4 linked regions of the Arabidopsis thaliana genome follow. The protein of the gene in region 1 interacts with the protein of each later gene in a pairwise test. Each region holds a gene or a part of one and is shown on either strand. Other genes may lie near its edges. The genes, in order: CAT6, ESL1, SUC7 and CAX1.

Region 1 (6,091 bases):
ATCTTTAATAAACTGAAACTTTTTGTGCATGGTTCTTTGTTTACGAAAGTTCAATAGTACTATTGATATATAGAATATATAAATGCAAATAATAAAAGAATGTATAAATATCCTCAAGGAATTTGAAACAAGTGATTGTGAACAAAAAAATGAAAAAGAAAAGGTGATCTTGTTGGATATATATGAAGTTGCGGATAATGTCACGTATGTGTGTCCCGTGAGAAAGATGGGGACCCATCGTTTTCAATTGTACGCCATCTCGTATTTATGAGAGACCTATGTCTATCTAACGTTTCCATTTATTAATGTTATCTATCACATGTATATTTCATACGTGATCTTGCCTTATAGGTTTGACAAAGATTTGATCTTTCAATCTCAAAAACTTGTAACCTAATAGTTTGTACTGTATTTAAAAATATTGTGTGTTGTGAATTGTACACAACGGTAAAACAAAAATATCATCAGTTTCTCTATTCTCTCAACAGATTGACTTGCATATGACCGATTTCATTTTGGTCGTTCGTTAAACCAAAATACATATTCTTTTTTTTCCTAAAGTTGTATTTAATATTTTCTCATTAATATTTCAAACCCCCTCATGTAGAAAAAAAATTAGAGAGTTTAATTACATTTTGGTTCATGATGCTTTAGAAAACTAAACTAAATAAATACTTTTCACACTTCAATTAGCTCTTTCATGACTTGTCCATCTTTCACACCAAAAGATCCATTCGCTTCAGCATCAGAACTCGCATGAACGCCATAAAACAAATACACGAGCACGATCAAACCGGAGAAGAATCCAAACCGGACGTAAGAGGGTGCGTCCAACGAACCAAGCAAAAAAATGTTCAAGAATATCGACACGCACGGGGTCCACGGCATGAACGGGACTCCCCACAACTCAGGTTTCCTAGCCTGGGGAACCACGCACTGAAAGCTCAGCACGATGGCTATAGCCACCACCGCACTGGCACCGAGCATGAAAGCTTTAGGCTTACCTTCCGGCACAAGTTTCCAGATGAGGGTGAAGACGAGAGAGGTTATGGAGAATAGTGTGAGGAAGCAGAGTGTGGGCCACGGCTTGGTGGGTCCAACCGGGACGTAACGTCTGAAGATGAGAGCGTTTGCGACCATGTAGAAGACAAATAGTGTTCCAATGGATACGAGGTTTAGGAGGACGTTTAGGTCGGTGAAAAGCGCAAGAGCCGCCGTGAAAATGCCTGATAAGGGATAAAATATACGAACGTTAATAAGATTGGTCAATGGTCATATTCTCTATAACTGTAGATGATTCGACTAGTGAAAAAAGTCCAAATTTGAAATGAATGGTAGTGGGAGGATTTGTTCCTTTATTTTGTCTTTTTGTCAATGCTATTGATGGATATAGCAAATGTGAGTTAGTGGGTGCTAAAATTAGCAAGGATAAGGTTGAACGATGATGACCCCCTTTATAATGATCCATTTTGTGACAAAGGCATGAGAGTAACTTAATGAGGAAAACAATGCTTGTTACAAAGATTATGCATATAAATATGGCTCTAAACGTTAGTATATGTTTTCCAATCTTCTATGTATTTTATCAAAGATGGTCATTATTCTAAATCCTGGTACCTAACAACTCACGAGTTGCATAGCTCAGCCAGATGTTCCGGAAATTACGAAAAGTTGGAGTTGTCAAAATATCAGCCGACTAGGCTTAGTAGTATCTTCACAAAAAAAATGAAATAAAAAAATGATTGATTAACTACTAGTCGTCCAATGGATGACTAATAATCCAACTATCGTATTTTTATTTAAAAAAAAGTGGAATATGTATTTTTAACACTAAGGAGACACAAAAAGAACCAAAGAGACCCACCAAATCCATCACAATCAAGACCGTTGAAAAGATTGAATCTTTGAACAATCAAAAAACACGAAACTTTTCACAGAGCAGAAAAGAAAACCAGTGGTGAACAACGACATCTAGCAATCGGACTCAGATGCTCTCTCTGTGACTCTTGTCTTAAACACCATACAATGATACAAATCACATTGAACCATGTCCCTACATTGAGATATACTTACACAACGTACATAGCCCTTGTCACGATCGAAATCGATAGCAGAAGATTTTTAAAATGGTAACGTCCAAAAGCTTTTGATCTTTAAAATATATTGAAATGGACACGTATATATAATGAAATCACGTGGATCGTATGATTTAGAGAAAACGTTAAAAGTTCAAATCAATAAAAAGATCATGGAAACAACCGAAACGGTTCTCATTGGGGTCCCCTTTTAACCTAACTACTACTCCTCTATCTCACTTTCTGGACCAAAATTTATTTTTAACTATATATGATTTGATTATATTTCATCATTGTTTGTTTGACAGTAATTAAATAAATGTTTTTTTGATGAATGAATGAAGACAAAGAAACGTACCAAGAAAAGTGGAGGCGTTGACTGGCGTAGATGTTTTGGGATGAATCTTAGCGAACCAAAAGGGGACCACTCTGGACCGTCCGATGACACACATGTAGCGAGCCTGACCTAACATTGCCACCAAAAGTGATGTTAATATCCCAAAGCTTGCTCCTATCCCCACCACTTTCGTCACCCATTCCCAGCCGTTCGATCCTCTGAACGCCGCGGAAAACGGCGCCTCCGGATCTATCTGCGTTACAACAACACATGCCCCGCCGTTTTCAGCTTTAGACTCAGACTACGTGCCGTCTTTATGAAAACGGAAATATACAATAAGAAAATAATAAATTTGAAGTACGGACCAGATCGTATGGCAGAAGCATTGACATAGAGACTGCCATGAGACAGTAAAGAACGGTGACGATTGCGACGGAGCCGGAAACACCGACGGGGATATCTTTGACCGGATTTTCAACTTCTTCCGCCATGGTTGAAACGGCGTCGTATCCTATGTAGCTTAAGTAAACCATGGCAGCTCCGTTGAAAACTCCCGCCGCGCCGAACGGAAAAAATCCCGAGGGGTGCTCTGGATTCGCCGGTGAGGATAGATTCTTTGAATCTCCTTTTATGAATCCCATCACGATCACGAAGAATATGAATGCGATGTGAAATGCAGTCATTATCATGTTCACTTTGGAACTCTCTCTTGTACTGCAACAGATGATGACTGTGATTACGAGGACGACGAGAACTGCGACTGGATCAATCTCGTTGAATCCTTTCGGTAAACCGGAGACGACGAATCGCCACTTGGAAGTTGAGATCCCGAAAGCTGTTCCTAAATAAGCGGTGAAGCTTCTCGAAACGGCCGCGTTTGACATTACGTAATCCATTACAAGATTTGCTCCGGTGAAAAATGCTGGAAATTCACCTGAACGGAAATGTAACAGAAAAGAAATCAGTTACGGTTTTTGATTTTGAAATTAAAATTTTCAGAAAACCGTGAACAGATCGGAGGAGTAGTGATGATTTTCGCGGGAGACTAACCGAATGTGATACGGATGTAGCTGAAGGCACCGCCGGCGACCGGGAGATGGACGGCGAATTCGGTGTAACAGAAAGCGGAGAGGAGAGCGCAGAGCCCGGCGATGGCGTAAGAGACGACAATTGAAGGACCGGCGTCGAGACGACTAGCACGGCCGGTGGTGACAAAGACACCGGCGCCGACCATTCCCCCGATTCCGAGTCCAATGAGATCGTACCACCGGAGAGTACGGCGCATCTGTTCGCCGGAGACGGCGCGGACGCGACTCATCTCGTCGGAAGAGGTGGAGACGGAAATAGCGCGGCGGGATAAGCGAGAAGGCGTCGCGGAAAGAGAGTTGAGGTAGACGCGGAGACTGGAGAAAGAAGAGTGACCACCATTGTTGCTGCTGCTTTGGACCTCCATTTTCTCACCGGCCAGATTCGGGTCGGGTCGGTTTGTGTGAGAATTTTGTTGAATTTGACAAGAGTTGGTTTTATATTAGAGATTAGGAAAAGTGAAAAAGAGAAGGATAGGGACAAAGATGTAATTATGACGATACTTAAGGGCATTTAAATGTTATAAGTATTGTTATTAACAACAAGATTGTTCCCTAATTCTTATATTCACATTAATCACATAAGCATCATCAGCTCAAAAGCTTACTAAACCCAAGATGCTTTATCTCTTTGGTCCAATTACAGTTACATTTATATATACTAATTATGCTAACGCTTTTATTGATTCATATACAAATCATAAACTAGTTTGGTAGTATATAGTATGTATTCACATCTAGCTAAGCTTGTAAACTATTTTTGTTGACCATAAACCACTAAAATTGGTATTTTATTAAATATCATTAGACTGCTGAGTTGTAACAGAGTGGCATTTCCTATGGTTATCTTATTTTGTTTTGTTTTTTAAAAAATAGGAAAAAAATGAATTACGGTTTTTATTGAAGAATATTCTTTTTTTTTTACTACTTATCATTAATTGTTAATAACACTCTTTATTGTTTAAATTTATAGATTTGTACTCAATTATTTATATTTAAAAAAAATATCTCAACACTATAACACCATATAAACATTCTAATAAGATATGTTTTTAAACAACATTATTAGTATATTTCAAAATGGTCAAAATATTTCGAACCTGAGAAATGAACTTTTTAATCATAAATATGTCATTGGAGAATCATTCCCACATTTTTCCTTGAAATGAGGGTCTAAAATTGATGTTATTATAGACAAAATTTTGTAATTGCGTTCCTTGTAATTGATAGGGAATTAGTACTAATTAATGAAATTAATACCATAATTGTGTCTATGACTATGATCGGTTGTTTGAAACGTAACGACTCTCTGCTTCAAAAGCTCTTCCTTACTTAGTTCCCGAGGTTATGAAACCGTCACGGACGTTAAAAAGAAAAAACTAAACAAACGGCGTTAACTTCCGTATATCATAAGACACGGTAACGACGTTACCTCTAACGGCTATGTGTGGTTTAAGATTCACACGTGTGGCAAAGAAGGTGACACGTGGGATGTTGTTTTGTTTTCAATGGATAAGCACACAGGTTTAAAGCGAAGCGTGACCAGAATTTGAGGAAATGAGTTTTTGTAATTAGTTGGTTCTTTTCGACAATCTTCTCATTTTTTATAGTTGGCAACTTGGCATTACTAGGAAAATATTATCGCATATTTGCAGCTAATTAAGGTCTTCTTCAACTGATTTTGTCTCTGCATTTAAATGTTTTAAAACGAGGACACGAATAGTTTGGTACTTAGAGGAATAAATAACCGCAAATCTTGTGTTGGTACAGTTTGTAACTTAGTAATTTGTTTTAGTGTTAGTGCCGTGTTATTTGATAGTATGTGTGAGTGGTAATATGCATGAGTGAGTTCTTGAAAAAAAAGATGAGTGATCTGTTCTCTGTGATAAGGGCAACGCAACATGTTTGCAGGTTGTATCATGATCCTGATGAGTATTCTCCATAGAGAAATCGGCATTAGACTCGACGCTTTAAGATGAAGAAGAAGCAATGGATTGACTGATTTTATTTTCATGGGTCGAACTCGGAGCCTTTGATGCTGTTCACTGAAATCCAAAATCCAAAATCACCAACACCACCAACTAACCGCATGTGTATATGTAATCCAAAATCAACACTATTTTTACCACACCAAAACTCACTATAAGGTTAATTCGAATAGAACTCATCTAACCATCTATGAAACTTGATTAAAAAGTGTTGTAGAATGATTTGTGTATGTTTATGTAAAAGTTCTATCGCTCCCAATCATACCCGTAACTGGATACACGTTGCAATTGATCTTTTTATTTTTTGGTTGGCCGCGCACTGCATTGAATTAACACTACCTTATCCAAACAAATAGTATTAAATATCTACTTCAATCGAACACTCTTAAGCCTCTCTTTGTTCACAATAATGATAATTAGATTAGTGTCAGCAACGTTGACACATATTCGTATCTACAACACACATACGCATACATTTATATATAAATTAATTTCGACAAGAATAAATTATGACTTGTATGGTCACCAATAAGTCTCACATTTTTGGGTACACAAAAGAGTAATAATGAAATAAATAAAAAAGATAATGTGGAGTGGTTTATACAG
Region 2 (5,555 bases), on another chromosome or scaffold:
CTTTTTATTGATAGAATGAGATAGGACAACAAATACCTTTTTTGCCGGGAAAATTCAAAGGTTGTTGATGATTCCTTGTGTCCGCAACTAGAAAGAGAAAAGTCTGTCGTATCAAATTAGATATTGACAAAAATGTCAAAATATATGAAGAAGTGTGAGGGGAAACCGTTGATTGAACGTAAGACATTTGAAAAATGGATATGTAGTAGTTTCTAGATTTGCTTACAAGGAATGTTGAGTTGTATCATTTTCTCTAACGCAATAGCTAACGTGCACGACTTTTTTTTTTTTATGTAAACTTCAAACAAACCACGATCAACGCGTTTACTATTTATTGCATGGAAACTATAGCAAGTGTGACAACTCATATCAATTTGTGATGAATTGATTAACTACGTAGGTAGTATAATATTTGTAAGTTGGTTATTCACGTAAGAAATATTGTATTTTACTCTTATCCAGATTATTTAAGAACTCGTTTTTCAATATAATGTTTGACATTTTATACTCGAGTTAATAAACAAATTAGCTTTACATTGACAAAATTCTGTTGTATATTATTTATAATTAATCTTGACTATGGGTAATTAAATAATATTTTTTTGGAAAAAAATACATTGGATTTTCTCAAATGATCACACTTCTATTAAAACCAAAATAGTACGTATACGCTCTAGACGATTCTAAATAGATGATTAATTTGGCTCGATTCATTAATTCAAAAAATAATAATATTTAGTGTTTTAAATTAGAATTAAAATATTAAATAATTATCGGATATTTCAGTGTTTTAAATTATTGAGGATGATTTTTGTTTAGTAATGACGTCAGATTGTCTAAGGAATAGTTTGGGAAAAAAATCTGAATCAAATATGACTAACAAATGGTTATTGGTTATTGAACTGGACCATAACAAAAAGACACACACACAAAAAAAAAAACTTTTTTTATCTGGTTTGCTCCATGGATAAGAATATAGTAGCTAGGATATCCTGATCTTTAGATAACGGTAGAACATGTGGCATGTGTTTATTGTTTATTTTTATTTTATTTTGAGAACAAAATAGTTACATTGTTTGGTTATATATAAAAAAAAAACAGACCAAAAAGACAAAACCAAAGCTTAAACAAAAAAAGAAAAGAAAAACTTAATTAGACCGGTTAACACTAAACTGGTTTATGTAAAACGGATTCATAAATGTATCTAGACATTCACTTACATAAAATTCATCACAAAATTTCACCCAATTACGGTTTTGATTCGGTATAGGGACCACCTTCAAAATTACCCAATAAATAAAGAGTGGATAACAACTAGCATAAAATAATCAAAGCATCCACTAAGACACAAAACACAATTTCATAAAGATGATGATGAATCACATAACTTTAAATAAATATTCTTTCAAAAAGGCAAAACTTTTAAATAAATATCATTCGCCTGTCGGCCAAGAAAAAAAAAAAGTAAACAAAAATAAATATCATACGTATTGACAACAAAAAATTCATACGCCAGTCCAATTACAAATTACACAATATTTAAAAATTTAAATAAGGAAAACAGAAGAAGATACAATTTCAAATTAAAAAACAAAATACGTGTATATAAAATTGAATAAAACCCCAACAGAAACGTGACACAAAAGAAAAGATTGGGGAAGCTGACCTCTGCCTTTCCTCCTCCATTAATCAAGGAATATAAATCAGCTTTAAACTCAGTCCTCTTATGGAAGACAAAAAAGCAAATATTTATTCGTAAATATAACTTCAGAACCCTTTCAACAAAACTCTCTCTGTTCTTTCTCCGTGGAGAAGTTAAAGATGACGATGTCGGAGAACTCAAGAAACTTGGAAGCTGGTTTGCTACTGAGGAAGAACCAAAACGACATCAACGAATGTCGTATCACTGCTGTTGTACTTTTCAGTACTTTCGTTTCTGTTTGTGGCTCTTTCTGCTTCGGTTGTGCGGTTAGTCATCAAATCACTCATCTTTTTTTTAAAACAATTTCTCTGTTTGTTTTGCTCTGTGATTTGAAAGTTTGGGGTTGGATTTTACAGGCAGGTTATTCATCAGTTGCTCAAACAGGGATCATAAATGATTTAGGTCTCTCTGTTGCACAAGTAAGAAGCAACCCTCTCTCTTTTCTTGAATCTTTACTCAAAAAGTGCTAGTTTTGCTTAAATTACTCTGTTTTTTTGTTTTTGTTTACTACTTCAGTACTCCATGTTTGGTTCAATCATGACTTTTGGAGGAATGATTGGTGCCATCTTCAGCGGGAAAGTTGCAGATCTCATGGGTCGAAAAGGGGTAAATTTCCTGACAATTTGAAATTCATACAAACATATGTTTCAAGATCATGTACTGATGAATTTTTCTCTTAAACAGACTATGTGGTTTGCTCAAATTTTCTGCATCTTCGGTTGGGTTGCAGTAGCATTAGCAAAAGACTCCATGTGGCTTGATATTGGAAGACTATCCACAGGATTTGCAGTTGGTTTATTAAGCTATGTGGTAATAATTCTTTTACTTTCTTTTTTTCCATTTATTTTGTGTATTATATACTTATTTATTTTTACTGACTTTGTGTTAACTCTGTTGCCTTCAGATACCAGTTTACATTGCAGAAATAACACCAAAACATGTTCGAGGAGCGTTTGTATTTGCTAATCAGGTAAACTAAAGAATAATTAGAGAATAAATTCTTATAACCATAAAATAAAAAAGATATATATTATACTAATGTTCTTAAAATTTGTTCAAATGTCGTTACAGCTGATGCAGAGTTGTGGATTGTCTTTATTCTACGTCATTGGAAATTTTGTTCATTGGCGTAACTTGGCCTTAATCGGTAAGCTTCTTCCTAATCCTTTTTTTCTTTCTAGCAGGTTAGTTATGAAATTTTCATCAAGAAGTGATTTAAGTTTATCGGTTTCTGTCTCTCAGGTCTCATTCCATGTGCGTTGCAAGTTGTGACTTTGTTCTTTATTCCAGAGTCCCCTAGACTACTGGTACGTTTAGCCCTTTTTAAGTTTTGATCTTTTTTAAAAAAAGTGTGAAGTAAAACTCAATATGGTTTACAATGGTGTATAGGGAAAATGGGGACATGAAAAAGAATGTAGAGCTTCATTGCAAAGTCTTCGCGGAGATGATGCAGATATCTCTGAAGAAGCCAACACTATCAAAGTATTGCAACTTTTCACACATCTCTCTGTTTTTAAATTGTGTTGTTTTCAATAAAACATGACTAATGAACAAATCATTGGAAATGTCAACTATAGGAAACCATGATCTTGTTTGATGAAGGACCAAAATCGCGGGTTATGGATTTGTTTCAGAGAAGATATGCTCCATCTGTTGTTGTAAGTTTATTCTCAAACGTTTTGTGACAAAAAAAGTTGATTTTCTCTTGTACCGTTATACTTACTCTCTGAAGTTTGTGACATTTTGTTCAGATTGGTGTGGGACTAATGCTTCTACAACAACTCTCTGGAAGCTCAGGACTTATGTACTATGTCGGTAGCGTATTTGATAAAGGAGGTAAATAGATAAACAAACTCTGTTTCGCATGTTACGATAATTTACTGTCTTCATTTGGGAGTAACAAATATTTTCTTACTAATGGCAGGGTTTCCAAGCAGCATTGGCTCAATGATTCTTGCAGTGATCATGGTATGTCTTTGTACGTAGTTTCATTTATTCGTGAAAAATCTTGCCAAGAAGTACACTTATGCTCATGTGTTCTGCTTTTGTAGATACCAAAAGCTCTATTGGGTCTGATTTTGGTTGAGAAAATGGGACGAAGACCACTTCTATTGGTAAGATTTTGCTATCTGATCTTTTGGTCAAATATCAAATGAAGCAACAAAATTTAGCATATATCTTTTAACAGATGAATGATCTTTATTTACAGGCCTCTACCGGTGGAATGTGCTTTTTCAGCTTGCTCCTCAGTTTTTCCTTCTGCTTTCGGGTAATTAACATTAACGATTCGCTTTCTAACCAAAGATATATACAAACTTTTTTTGCTGCTGTTTATTGGAGATTCTTACCAGTTATACTAAAATTTTTCTACTTTTGTTCTTGGACAGTCATATGGCATGCTTGATGAGCTCACTCCGATTTTCACATGTATCGGTGTAGTGGTACGTTTAAAGTCATTTCTTAGACATAATAAACAAGCAACTTAAAGTATAGCTCTTGTATAACTTGATCTGAATTTGACATCATATTACAGGGTTTCATCTCTTCATTTGCCGTAGGCATGGGAGGCTTACCATGGATCATCATGTCTGAGGTAAACAAACATGAACATTAACATTAACTCCTCAAAAACCGACATATATATATTTTTTCCAGCTCTAAAAAATGTTACATTTTTTATTTTGCAGATATTCCCAATGAATGTTAAAGTTTCTGCTGGGACTCTGGTTACCTTAGCCAACTGGTCCTTTGGTTGGATTGTTGCTTTCGCCTACAACTTCATGCTAGAGTGGAACGCATCAGGTATAAATACATACTACTATATAATATACTATAGAGTCATTAAACTCTCAAAAAAAAATTAGATCTTTAATCTGATTTAATTTTTGAAATATATTAATCTGTTTCAGGAACGTTCTTGATCTTCTTTACTATATGTGGTGCGGGTATAGTCTTTATTTATGCGATGGTACCCGAAACTAAAGGAAGAACATTGGAAGATATACAAGCTTCTCTTACAGATTTTCTACAATGAGATCAAGTTTGACTTGTTTAAAGTTATTCATTTTTTCTTAGATTACAATTGGGGGGAGGTTTATAGTTTTTTGTTGTAATTGTTACCTCATTTGATGTGCAATTGAGAAAGAGATCACTTGAACATAAGGTTTAGATATCTCTCTGTCTCAGTAAATTAGCCCAATGTATGTATAGTATAGTCCCAGTTTTACACCCAAAAAAAAGAAATATAAAATTGAACTTTAAGGTATTGGCTTTTTGCTTTCATTGTATATTTAACATTTTTTTTTTTTACTTTTACTAGTTGCTAATGCTATTAATCAATCTACCAGTTCTCTGAAACCTGTAGACCCACAGTTTCTACTTTCGGACTTATTTGTTCTGTATGTGTTCCACATTTCCGGCCTCATTCCTAAAAGTTGAATTGATTTGTGAGATATTTCCTTTTCAAAAATCATTGTTCTTTTTTATATTTTCTCGATAGCATAGGGTTTTCAGATACGGATAGTGATAGGGCAACAAATAAAACTAGGTTAATTCTTATCCTCTCTAAAAGTTAGTAAAGAATAAAGACAATTTATTTCCTTTTAAGGTTCCGAAAATGAGGTTTTCTAATTCTCTCCCTAGACGTAATTAAGCTATCGCTGTGCCAACCAGATTTGTGGTAGGTTACGTGCATCTGTTGATCTATTTGCATACATCATAAAGATCAATCCTTTAATTGTTTAACCACCTTTCTGATATTTCAATTATCTTGACTTTTTTTTTCTTTGTTCGTTAAAACTATTGAATTTTTAGTCATTTAGTAAATATATTGCAAGTGCTATCCATAAAGATG
Region 3 (4,392 bases), on another chromosome or scaffold:
ATTTTAGATTCATATGTATAACTTTTTTTTTTCGTGTAAAGTTTTAACGAGTGATGTATTTCAAAATTAGAAAAGAAAAGGAGAAAGTAATATCTATCTTTGTAAAATTCCTAAGAGATATAATAATTAAGTACCAAAACGATGTGAAATGTCGCTAAAATATAGCAATACTTTAATTATTTATAGTTATTACCGAAATATAATAGTTTTGTGACTTATAATAAATCTACCATAAAGAAAGAAAATCCGTGAAAATTAAGAGTCAATTTGGAACAAAATGTTTTAAAATGTAGTATATATATGAGACTAGCTTTTTATCTTTAGGCGAATATGATATTTTCATAAAACGTCCACAATAAAAAAATGTTTTATATTTCATTTGTGCTATTTTTGAAACATTGGGAATGATGTGCTAAATTTGGGAAACTTTTTTATGCAGCATAACTTATGCTGTTTGTTAAAATTGCTATAATTTTAAATTAATTTTAATAATTTAACAGAATAAAGTTTAAATTAATTTTAAGTATACAAGAGTCCTTACCTAGTGCTACAATAATATTAAAAAATGCATATATAATAAATAAAACGCATAAACTTTTTAAGGTAAAACGGTAAATGCCACAATACTGCTGACTGCCGCTGCAATAGCTCCGACCACAAATCCTGGTAAGTTTCCATCTCCAAATAACGCATCAATAGGACCAACTCCAAACGATACAATCATTTGTGGTATGACAATTGCCATGTTTAAAACTCCTAGAGAAAGTCCTGCAAAGATGACAACAAAAAAGACACATCATTATTAATTTGATTTTTTAATATTTATATTACACAAAATAATTGTTGTTGTTTTTATTGATAAATTTATGGTAAATTCCTTGTGGTGAATAAAAACCAATTCCGTAAGAATATCAATTCATCAATATTCAATCTAATTAAGTTAGTAGATTACATACATCACCTTATATTAAATGTTTTGTTAGATAACTTATTATCCAAATTAACTTAAATTATGAAGATAAATGGAGACTGATCTCTCAATTTTTTTTTTTTGTAATCACAAATTTAATTAGCATTTACTAGAGAATGTTTAAATAATTTTAGGAAAAAAAGATGTTAAAAATACTTTGACCGGCGCCGGAGCTGCTTGATATTATAGAAGCTAGTGCGAACGGAATACTGAATGTAATCTATAAAAAGTTTCAAAAAAATGTTAACAAATATTAAACCATGAATGATAAATTGATCATAATAGTAACAAAAGTTGTATAAAAGACATGTTGGACTTACAGCAAGAGGAATTCCAAGAAGAGCAAAGAGAGTCAATGCTCCAGCTCTGATGCCATCGGTAGGAAGGGCCATTGGACCGGCGATTCTCCGGTGCTCCTCCGCCTTTTTAGTAACCAAAACCGTCATTGCCAAACACACGGCGAGAATAATATTCACAGCTCCCCAAAGCCTTTTAGCTCCTCCCATCTTCCTACTAATACCTTCAATACCAAGTGACATGACTCCAAGAACGATAGAGTTAAGCATCAATCCCAATGCACCAACATGAATTCCTTGGTTGTATAGTTTCTTCATTTTGTCATCTCCTTTTGAGTCTCCACCATACACTTCACGACCCATCCAATCAGTATCGTATAAAAGAAAAGGGAACCATGCGATCCAGTTCAAGGCCGTGACGATTAGTAGCATCCACATTGGACGTTTCATTACCTTGAAAGCTCCAAAGATCTCACCGAAGAACGGAGTTTTCTCGTTGTCGGAGTCTGCCTTAGGCGACCATTGCTTGTCTTCCACGTACCATAGAGCTATGATGGTGACGACTAGGAGGAGAGTGATGGAAAGGAAGAAACAACTCTTGAGATTTGCGCAATATATGTCGCACGCTTTAGTCATTGTGAAAGGGAAGATCTTGTAGAGGTTAGTGTACGATCCTGCCGCATATCCCAAAACGTTTCCAACGGCCATGAAGAAAGAGAAAAACGCGTTTGCCGTTCGCGTTTTCTGAGCGTCTCCAGCTGCTAAATCACCAAGAAAAGCACGGCATGGTCCTTGGAGAGTGTTGTTAGCCACGTCAAGGATCCAGAACCCGAGAGCGAAGATAACAACGGCTCGCATCTTGACAGGTTTGTCGATTTTGTCTCCCATGCTGTGGCCGAAATCAGCCGCATATCCGATTAGTACAACAGAAACAGCGACCAGCAAAGCACCCGTGGCGATGAAAGGACGACGACGTCCGAATCTTGACGTGCATCGGTCGCTGAAGTAACCGACTGATGGCTGGACAAGCAAGCCGGAGACAGGACCGCAAAGCCAAATGAAAGATGGCCATTTGTGTGGGACTCCAAGAAGCTGCACGTATGGAGTAAGCAGAGACAGTTGAAGAGCCCAACCAAACTGAATACCGGCAGCAATAGAAGCCACCGATATCATCTTTCTCAGCGGAGATGGCCCATCAAGATCCACCGACGAGGAAGACTGTCTATCCACAGTCGTCTCATCTTTGTTTGCTTGGAGGTCACTCATCTTCTTCACCCTTGTCTTAGAGGTTGTGTTTGTTGTTGGCGCTGAGGAGATGAAAGAAAGTGGGCTTGTCTCTTAAAGACAAGGTGGAGAAGAGAAATGAGACTTATATTTCTATAGATTTTTTGATTCTGTGTTTCAATAGTTTGGAAAAGTAAATCTTTTATAGTAATGCTATAACGCATATATCCTTATAGGATTGTTGTAATAATGACAAGACTAACGTTAATAAAACCGTAATCAGTTTATCATCTTATCTTTATATCATTTATTTTGAGATTGTGACAGATTTTTCAATTTCTTGTTTCTGTAGTATGACTTTTATAAATGATTAACTGAATAACAAGAGATTATAAATGGTTTTGAATGATTTTATATGTATTTCATGTTTAATAACATAGGATATAGAAAGATATTTAATTAGAAATTATTAGTTGAATAACAGGAGATCTAAAAAACCAAAAGGGATGATTGGTTGTTGCTGTAAAGTCTTTCCACAGCCCAAAATATGTCTACAACATTAAGACTCATCCAGTGTTGCTTTAGACAGTATTACAAAAGCTACCGGCTATATCCCAAATATAGCAAAATCAAATGTCTTGGCTGTACGTTATCAAAATTTCCACATTTGTATTGTACATCACGTAAAGAAGCCTGTGAACTTTCTTTCTCTCTCTATTTTTTCACAATTGTTTTGCTCTTTGCACTAAAGAAAAGAATATCTAATGACAAAAATTAACATGACTATAATATAAAGATAAGTAAATACTTTTACACTAAAATTTTGTAGCACTAACAAGTGTTTTATGTTTTTAAATGAATATCGTATTCGTTTTATTAAATAAAAACTTTAATTCAGTTTGTAAATAATATTATATTTATTAAATCCAAAAAAATATTATTTAAATCCATATACAGTGATGATGATGCTATCACGACAAATTAGTCCAAAATGGGCAGCGTATATTTTCTTATATGGGCCTAAACAAAGGAAACTAACTAATTATAATCAACTTATGATCATCAGTCAATTATGAAAGGTTATATTTGACAGGAGATTGTGTGTTTAAAACCATTTTGAGTATATCTGTTTTGAATCATTTGAGACAATTGTGATTTTTGCTTGTTCTGATCCCATTCTTTTAGTCTCGTGCATATGTGATCTTGTATTGTCTAATAAGGATTATGATCTGTCCCCTAAACTTCAAAATTTGGAGGCCATGATCTGATTTTTGAATGTGGTTCTTATAGTTTTTTGCTTGATATTTTGCAGACCAACAAAGAATGATGGTGAATATCCATCTAAGTCAAATACAGATTCCATTTCTCTTTTAATACAAATCAAATAAGAAAACTGAAGCTTGCAAGCTCGCTTGTACTAAGTTTCTGAAAGTTTTTATTCTCGACTAAATAATGTCCAAGATGGAAGCAAGACATAAGCTCCATTGTTGATAGAATGGAGCTTATGTTGGCTTTTGTTTTTGTTTCAAAATGGTTTTTAACTTATGTGTGATTGCTTAGCCAAATGTGGACTCTGAAGATGGTTTTCAGTTTTAGATATGAATGTCCTTGTTACTATTGTTACACAGTCACACAGAGTTTACAAAAGATCATTCATCATTGTTTATAAGAGAACAAATTGATAACATATATCTTTTTGATGTGGATGGATTTGTTAACCCTCTAGAAGAACACCCAAATTTGGCTACAAAGTTGTCAACACATTGTTCTTCGTTCTTCTTTGACTTTGACTAAAAATAAAAATAAACCTCGGCCTAAGAAAATAGCGTGTTCACATTGGATGATTAAGGCCTGGACCGAGTATCAAATAATATCTAAATGGGCCTAGCTAAGCAGTTACGT
Region 4 (6,551 bases), on another chromosome or scaffold:
AATATTTTGAATCTTTGATCTATTTAAATTCTCAGGCTCAATCGTTATCAATGGACGAGGACTACATAAATAGAACACTTTTTTCTCTTTGGACAAAGCATAGATAGATCACTTATGATCTTTTTTTATAATGAAAATTTAGTTATCCGGGACTAGGGGCGCTATAATCTAAGATTCTCTAGGCCATTGAGTTAGGAGAAAGAACTTAAGGAAAGGAACAATTGATAGGGATGCATTACGCAATGTATAAGAAATCATCTTAAAAGGATTTATTTACGTTGTTGCACAATATATAATTATATATAGTTAAAATATCATTTAATTACGCACCACCACACAGTATAGTTTAAATTCATCGATCCTTGATTTATTCATGACATCTTTCCAAAATCTCCAATACTCTTATTTAATGGTATAGACTCGATGGTGGTAGCAAAGTCATTATAATGTTTTGGAGCGTAATTGACTTTAGATAACCCTATTTTTATCCCTATAGTTAGATCTAAGGTCCTAATTAAATATCGATGACATCCAATAAATTTGGAACGATAAAGAAAGTTTACTGATTTGTTTCGACAAAGTCAATATTTCTGATTTGAGACAAATCAGAAACAAAGTGAATTTGTCAAAATTCCAAGAGCGATGGCGTGACGAATTGCGTGAAGAACAGCCGTAGCTTCAGCCGTGAGCTTCTATGGCCCTGATTTAAATCATAATTTTATAGATGAATATGAAATAACATCATGCTAGAAGTTAAACATAATAAACACTAGCGAACAAAAGCCACCAGCCACCTTCTGCCTTTTATGAAGCTATTACCTCCTCGTTAACCGAAAAAGCCACATGGCAAAACCATCAACATCGCATTCGTACTAACGACACAATTTGGACCCTTAGGATATTCTAAAGAATACTCTTAAAGCATGTGTTATAGACTTATAGCGACGCTAATTTGTTTTCGTATGTGAATTTCATTTTGATACAGAAGTACAGATCCGGGTGTCTTGAATTCTCCGGTTTACTGTGTATAACCAGTTTTCAAGGCTTTTTTTTATTTTTTAATTTCATTTTTAGGTTTCTCATTTTCGGTCATTCATGTCATACCAACCTACTGGAGTGGCTAATGAATCATGGTTCGATAACAATTCATCACCGACGAACTTCTCTGAAGGACCATGTTGACAAAAAATGTCTTGACACCCACGCAACTAGTAGACCTTTTTACTAAAACCTTGGGTCAAAAAGAGTTCGACTGTTTCTAGTCTCCACATTTCCACTTGAAGAGTTGTACGGAGACTTGAGATATAGTATATTTTTAAGTTATAGATTTTGGTTTTACTTTTTTTTTTGTAGCTATCTCAAAACTTGTAAAGAAGGCAAATAACATCAATAAGAAGATTATTTAATCAATGATTTTTAGGATACTAATGAATTTTTGATTTTATAGTATATATTTTTCCTTACATAGTTTTTCCTTTCCAAACACCATTGAATGTGAAAATCAAATTTTAGTCTTCAACATATTCCTTGCTTAGTAATGAAAGATAAGACCATCACATAACTCTTTTGCTATTAGATAAATATATTACTAAGCAAAATTAACTTTATAATTTAGTATGATTTCCAAAGAGTTATTTCCCAAAAATCAAGATTTGAGAGCCATGTGTTACAACTTTCAACTGCAAGATCTATATTAACCATTTCTGATTTTGGTTTCCAAATATTAAAACCATAAATCCCAAAAAATTAAATAATTAAAATCTCAAAGGGAAACTTGGGAAACTTCGTGGAAGTTGCCTTGGTGGACCCAATAAACAAAACTAATCAGTAGTATTTAAACAAATCATGACGCCATTTCTTTACAAAACAAACATAAAGAATCAGCAAAGCAAAATTCGAAGAGACACAAAAAAACCTTCGTTTGTGTCTCAGAATTTACAAAGTTTTGAGTCAGTAGAGAAATGGCGGGAATCGTGACAGAGCCGTGGTCAGTAGCTGAGAACGGAAACCCAAGCATAACGGCGAAAGGATCGAGCAGAGAACTAAGACTTGGAAGAACCGCTCACAACATGTCTTCTTCTTCTTTGAGGAAAAAATCAGACCTCCGAGTGATTCAGAAGGTTCCATACAAAGGTCTTAAAGATTTTCTCTCTAATCTCCAAGAAGTCATTCTCGGAACAAAGCTTGCCATTCTTTTTCCGGCCATTCCTGCCGCCATTATTTGCACCTATTGTGGCGTCAGTCAGGTACACATATTTTTCCGCTGTTTCATTGATAATACATTGAGAACATCATTCAAAATATTCGCAAAAAGAGTTAGAATACGAAACGCCTACAGATTTTTATCAATTTGTCATTAGTATTTAAGATATTTCATTACATCTAATCCAAATTACATCTAATCCAAATTACTAATTACCGGTTACTATTAAATTAGATTTGTAGTCATTGATGTTTTAAAATTAAACTTTGGTGTATCTTGTAACGTATATACATGTACATAATATATGGTACTAAATCGTGATTTTTATTACAGCCTTGGATATTTGGACTTAGCTTGCTAGGACTGACACCTTTGGCTGAGCGAGTCAGCTTTTTGACAGAGTAAGTATCCGACCATCATCTCTTATTTTATCCATTTACATATTTCTATAATTTGAATTCTTCACATTACGACATTTTCTTATCGATCGTGACAAAATTTAGCCAACTGTCGATAAAATGAATCGTATCTATCCATCTGTAGTTAAAAAGATCACGTTATATCAATACTTTTTTCTCTCTTTCAAATAAATCTAGTTACCAACCACTCATTGTAATACTTATCGTTGCTCCATAATACTTTCCACTAAGTTTGCAGTTTTTCCCACTACTTGCTTTAAATCTTAGGGGTTATAATCATGAAGATCACGTTAGTTAGGTCCAATTCCACCATAATTTATGCTTTTTGAAATAAATGGACATGGACCAATATTCTTTGGGGATTCGGCAATGCATGATTGGTTTTTTATTACAACCACACACAATTATTTGACACTCATATGTCAACGTGACAGCATAGTACAAACTCTATCATCTAATCAAGTACATTGAGATTATCTAGAATCATCTTATCAAGTGACGCCATAAAAAGTTTTTTTTTCGTGTGGTAACTTTATTATTCACATTCTCTCGTGATTCTCGTGCAGGCAACTAGCTTTCTACACCGGTCCTACATGTAACGTTTTCTTTACCAACTATTCTTATTCCAATCTACAAACGTTATTTACTTATTTTATCAGTAGAAACTCATTTATTTTTTCTGTGTGTTTTTGAACCGCAGTGGGTGGTCTATTGAACGCAACGTGTGGAAACGCGACTGAATTGATAATCGCGATTCTTGCTTTGACCAATAACAAAGTCGCAGTGGTGAAATATTCGCTGCTAGGTTCGATTTTGTCGAACCTTTTATTGGTTCTAGGGACTTCACTCTTCTGTGGAGGAATCGCTAATATCCGAAGGGAACAGCGGTTCGACCGGGTATGACTTCCCTTTTAACTTCGGTTCAACTTTAATTTCAAAACCAATAATATTTTTTTTAGTTAAGATAATTGAACCGGGAATGAAATAGGTTTTGTACGGCTAGTGTTAACCAGGATTTTGTTTAAAAGTTTAGCTTGATAAACAAGCAAGTGGTATGTTTGAACCAAATTTTAATAACGGATATGCTAAACGAAATCAATTTGTGTGGTCATTGTTGCAGAAACAAGCCGATGTGAACTTCTTCTTACTTCTACTGGGTTTCTTGTGTCACTTGCTGCCATTGTTGGTGGGATACTTGAAAAACGGAGAGGCTTCGGCTGCTGTTTTGTCCGACATGCAACTGAGTATATCGCGAGGCTTCAGTATTGTTATGTTGATCAGCTACATTGCATATCTTGTTTTCCAACTGTGGACTCACCGCCAATTGTTCGATGCACAAGAACAGGTAACTGAAATCTATACACACAAGATAACAGAAGAATGTTATATAGTAGCGATATATATTATTGTATTCTAATGGATCTTTGATACGAAATTTGGTACAGGAAGATGAGTATGATGACGATGTGGAGCAAGAAACCGCGGTGATTAGTTTTTGGAGCGGTTTTGCATGGTTGGTTGGGATGACACTCGTTATCGCATTGCTATCGGAGTATGTTGTAGCCACGATTGAGGTAACTCTTTTGAATTCCACATTGAAACTGACATGATCAACTAAAACATTATAGTAAATACACTTATCGCCAATTGGTTTTGAGTTGGAAACATGCTCGCTAATATAACGTCAACTTTGTTTAGGAAGCATCGGATAAATGGAACTTATCAGTGAGTTTCATAAGCATCATATTGCTTCCTATTGTTGGAAATGCAGCTGAACATGCTGGAGCCGTTATTTTTGCCTTTAAGAACAAGCTTGTAAGTTCGATTTTATTCCTTAAAATTATCGCTTTTAATCGATCCCGAGATCTATTATATAATGACACAATGCAAGAACTTATATCAATCCAAATAATTTCTAGGACATATCTTTGGGAGTTGCGTTAGGCTCTGCGACTCAGATTGGCTTATTCGTTGTCCCCTTGACCATCATCGTGGCGTGGATTTTGGGAATTAATATGGATCTCAATTTTGGTCCCCTCGAAACTGGCTGTCTTGCTGTTTCCATAATCATCACAGCGTTCACATTACAGGTTAAGCATTTTTCGACACCTTACAAAATTATTAATCCACTAGACAAATTAATGGATGATCCAAGTATTGAGGGTTAAATATTTTTGTTATGTTTTGTGGTTCTTTAGGATGGGAGTTCTCACTACATGAAGGGACTGGTCCTCTTGCTTTGCTATTTCATTATTGCCATCTGTTTCTTCGTCGACAAACTTCCCCAGAGTGAGTTAGTTTTCAAATGTATATGCATGCTATTATTAGGGAAAACAATAATTGAGGCATACAACACCCATATATCAAATGGAAATGCTTCATCAAATAAAGTTAAAACGGGTTAAATAGGTTCCCCCAATTATATTTATTTATTAACTAAGTTTTAACATAAATAAATGCTTTTCTTTATGACGAGTCTCTTTACTAATTTTTGAGTAATATCTTAATAACTAAAGTAAAATAGTAATAAAACTTATATTTTATTTTTTTAATTCAAAAACAAACAAAAATTATAATTTTACTGTCAAAAACTGCATAACTGTTGCTTCCGCCAAAACCGAAAAATAACATTTTCCGTTTAAACTGCGAAATTCTGTTTTATGTGATTGTAACTTTTATTGAAAAGTTTGTGAAACTACATAGGCTAGTGAAAAATAAATATCCCTGGAAACTAAGAGAAAATGTTGAAAAATGTTGAAATTCTCGAAGAAGATAACAACTCTCACTAAAAACATTTGGTCTTCACGTTCATTGTTTTTTCACAAAAAAAAAAATTCTCACAAAATCCACGTTTTCTTGCAAAAACCGTCAATTAATTGGGTATAAATAGGTTTAAAATTAATTGGGGTGGGTTCCAATTTAATAAGATTACTACATACTACATGCTACTACTAGATTGACAATGATAATTATTCCCTAACACCAAATTGTGATAATTTTATCTTTCAGAACAAAATGCCATTCACTTGGGACATCAAGCGATGAACAATGTCGTCACTGCAACAGGAGGAGGAGTTTTCTCATCTTAAACGAAGACAAGTACCAATGTGTTGAAACAAAATTTCCAAAGCGAGAGACAATGGAGAAAGGAAAACAAAAACCAATTTTCTTGATTCATTTATAAATATTGAAAGATTTGTCAGAGAGATTCCTGAGATTCAGTGAGTATTATTTCATTTTTCAAAAATGTTGGGTGTCTTGATGAAGATGAGTTTTGAGAACTTTATAAATTCTTCTTGTGGGTGGGTTTTGCAATGAACTATCTATGAATGTCTTGTGTCAAATGTTCTATCTCTTTTTATTAATGGTTTTATCATTTTTTCTGAGTAGTCAATACTATAAAACTATAAATAAATGGAATTTTTGATTTTCCTTTATAATCGAGGTAGAACATTGTTTCTACCAATAGAAATCCAAATTCAAATAATCATATATCTCATCAAGTCAAAATCAGACCTTCGGTGGGATTGAGAATGTCAGAAAAAAAAAAGGGTCAGACCTTTATTGGTGAGCTTTTGTGGGTTAAAAGCCCAATGAATAAGCTATTGGGCCATTTAGATTTATATCTGCAAAACAAATAAATGAAGTGAAGAGTTTGAATTCACACGAAAAACGAGGCTGCTTCATTGGTCAGTCCAATTCAAATATCAACCGTCAAATCAGTCAATCGCCGTTGTATATCCAACGGTTCAGATCTTAGATTCATTCACTAGGCCCTACTTTATTTACATCTATACCCTCTCCTAACGCTCCACCTCCAGAAAAAATTTTAAAGAACACCTGAGAAATCAGAACAGTGGCAGTTTCGTGAATATACGACTGAATCAATCTCTGTAAAATTTCTTCTTCCTCCTTTTTAGCCATTATCA

Evidence for each region.
Region 2: the proteins of CAT6 (region 1) and ESL1 interact in a protein complementation assay, tested with the Arabidopsis thaliana proteins (one large-scale study listed by BioGRID).
Region 3: the proteins of CAT6 (region 1) and SUC7 interact in a protein complementation assay, tested with the Arabidopsis thaliana proteins (one large-scale study listed by BioGRID).
Region 4: the proteins of CAT6 (region 1) and CAX1 interact in a protein complementation assay, tested with the Arabidopsis thaliana proteins (one large-scale study listed by BioGRID).

What each region holds. Positions count from the first base shown.
Region 1 is NC_003076.8:1,376,892-1,382,982, reverse strand, and holds CAT6 (cationic amino acid transporter 6), read right to left. Parts: upstream 4,363-6,091; 5' UTR 3,866-4,362; coding exon 3,463-3,865; exon of another isoform or gene 3,347-3,462; coding exon 2,778-3,346; intron 2,666-2,777; coding exon 2,434-2,665; intron 1,713-2,433; coding exon of another isoform or gene 1,681-1,712; exon of another isoform or gene 1,227-1,680; coding exon 679-1,226; 3' UTR 505-678; downstream 1-504. UniProt on the Arabidopsis thaliana protein: Permease involved in the transport of the cationic neutral or acidic amino acids.
Region 2 is NC_003070.9:2,865,625-2,871,179, forward strand, and holds ESL1 (ERD (early response to dehydration) six-like 1), read left to right. Parts: upstream 1-1,634; 5' UTR 1,635-1,821; coding exon 1,822-1,968; intron 1,969-2,058; coding exon 2,059-2,121; intron 2,122-2,218; coding exon 2,219-2,308; intron 2,309-2,386; coding exon 2,387-2,512; intron 2,513-2,606; coding exon 2,607-2,672; intron 2,673-2,773; coding exon 2,774-2,849; intron 2,850-2,944; coding exon 2,945-3,009; intron 3,010-3,091; coding exon 3,092-3,184; intron 3,185-3,279; coding exon 3,280-3,360; intron 3,361-3,453; coding exon 3,454-3,538; intron 3,539-3,626; coding exon 3,627-3,670; intron 3,671-3,753; coding exon 3,754-3,816; intron 3,817-3,890; coding exon 3,891-3,971; intron 3,972-4,089; coding exon 4,090-4,143; intron 4,144-4,235; coding exon 4,236-4,295; intron 4,296-4,389; coding exon 4,390-4,504; coding exon of another isoform or gene 4,505-4,566; exon of another isoform or gene 4,567-4,606; intron 4,607-4,611; coding exon 4,612-4,736; 3' UTR 4,737-5,032; downstream 5,033-5,555. UniProt on the Arabidopsis thaliana protein: Sugar transporter. Transports monosaccharides across the vacuolar membrane independently from a proton gradient.
Region 3 is NC_003070.9:24,834,711-24,839,102, forward strand, and holds SUC7 (sucrose-proton symporter 7), read right to left. Parts: upstream 2,732-4,392; 5' UTR 2,533-2,731; coding exon 1,291-2,532; intron 1,191-1,290; coding exon 1,127-1,190; intron 769-1,126; coding exon 599-768; 3' UTR 534-598; downstream 1-533. UniProt on the Arabidopsis thaliana protein: May be responsible for the transport of glucosides into the cell, with the concomitant uptake of protons (symport system). Does not seem to transport sucrose.
Region 4 is NC_003071.7:15,988,589-15,995,139, reverse strand, and holds CAX1 (cation exchanger 1), read left to right. Parts: upstream 1-1,854; 5' UTR 1,855-1,961; coding exon 1,962-2,246; intron 2,247-2,536; coding exon 2,537-2,604; intron 2,605-3,188; coding exon 3,189-3,217; intron 3,218-3,322; coding exon 3,323-3,519; intron 3,520-3,742; coding exon 3,743-3,967; intron 3,968-4,067; coding exon 4,068-4,196; intron 4,197-4,320; coding exon 4,321-4,437; coding exon of another isoform or gene 4,438-4,541; coding exon 4,542-4,712; intron 4,713-4,820; coding exon 4,821-5,027; 3' UTR 5,028-5,631; coding exon of another isoform or gene 5,632-5,711; 3' UTR 5,712-6,048; downstream 6,049-6,551. UniProt on the Arabidopsis thaliana protein: Vacuolar cation/proton exchanger (CAX). Translocates Ca(2+) and other metal ions into vacuoles using the proton gradient formed by H(+)-ATPase and H(+)-pyrophosphatase. Involved in ion homeostasis in association with CAX3.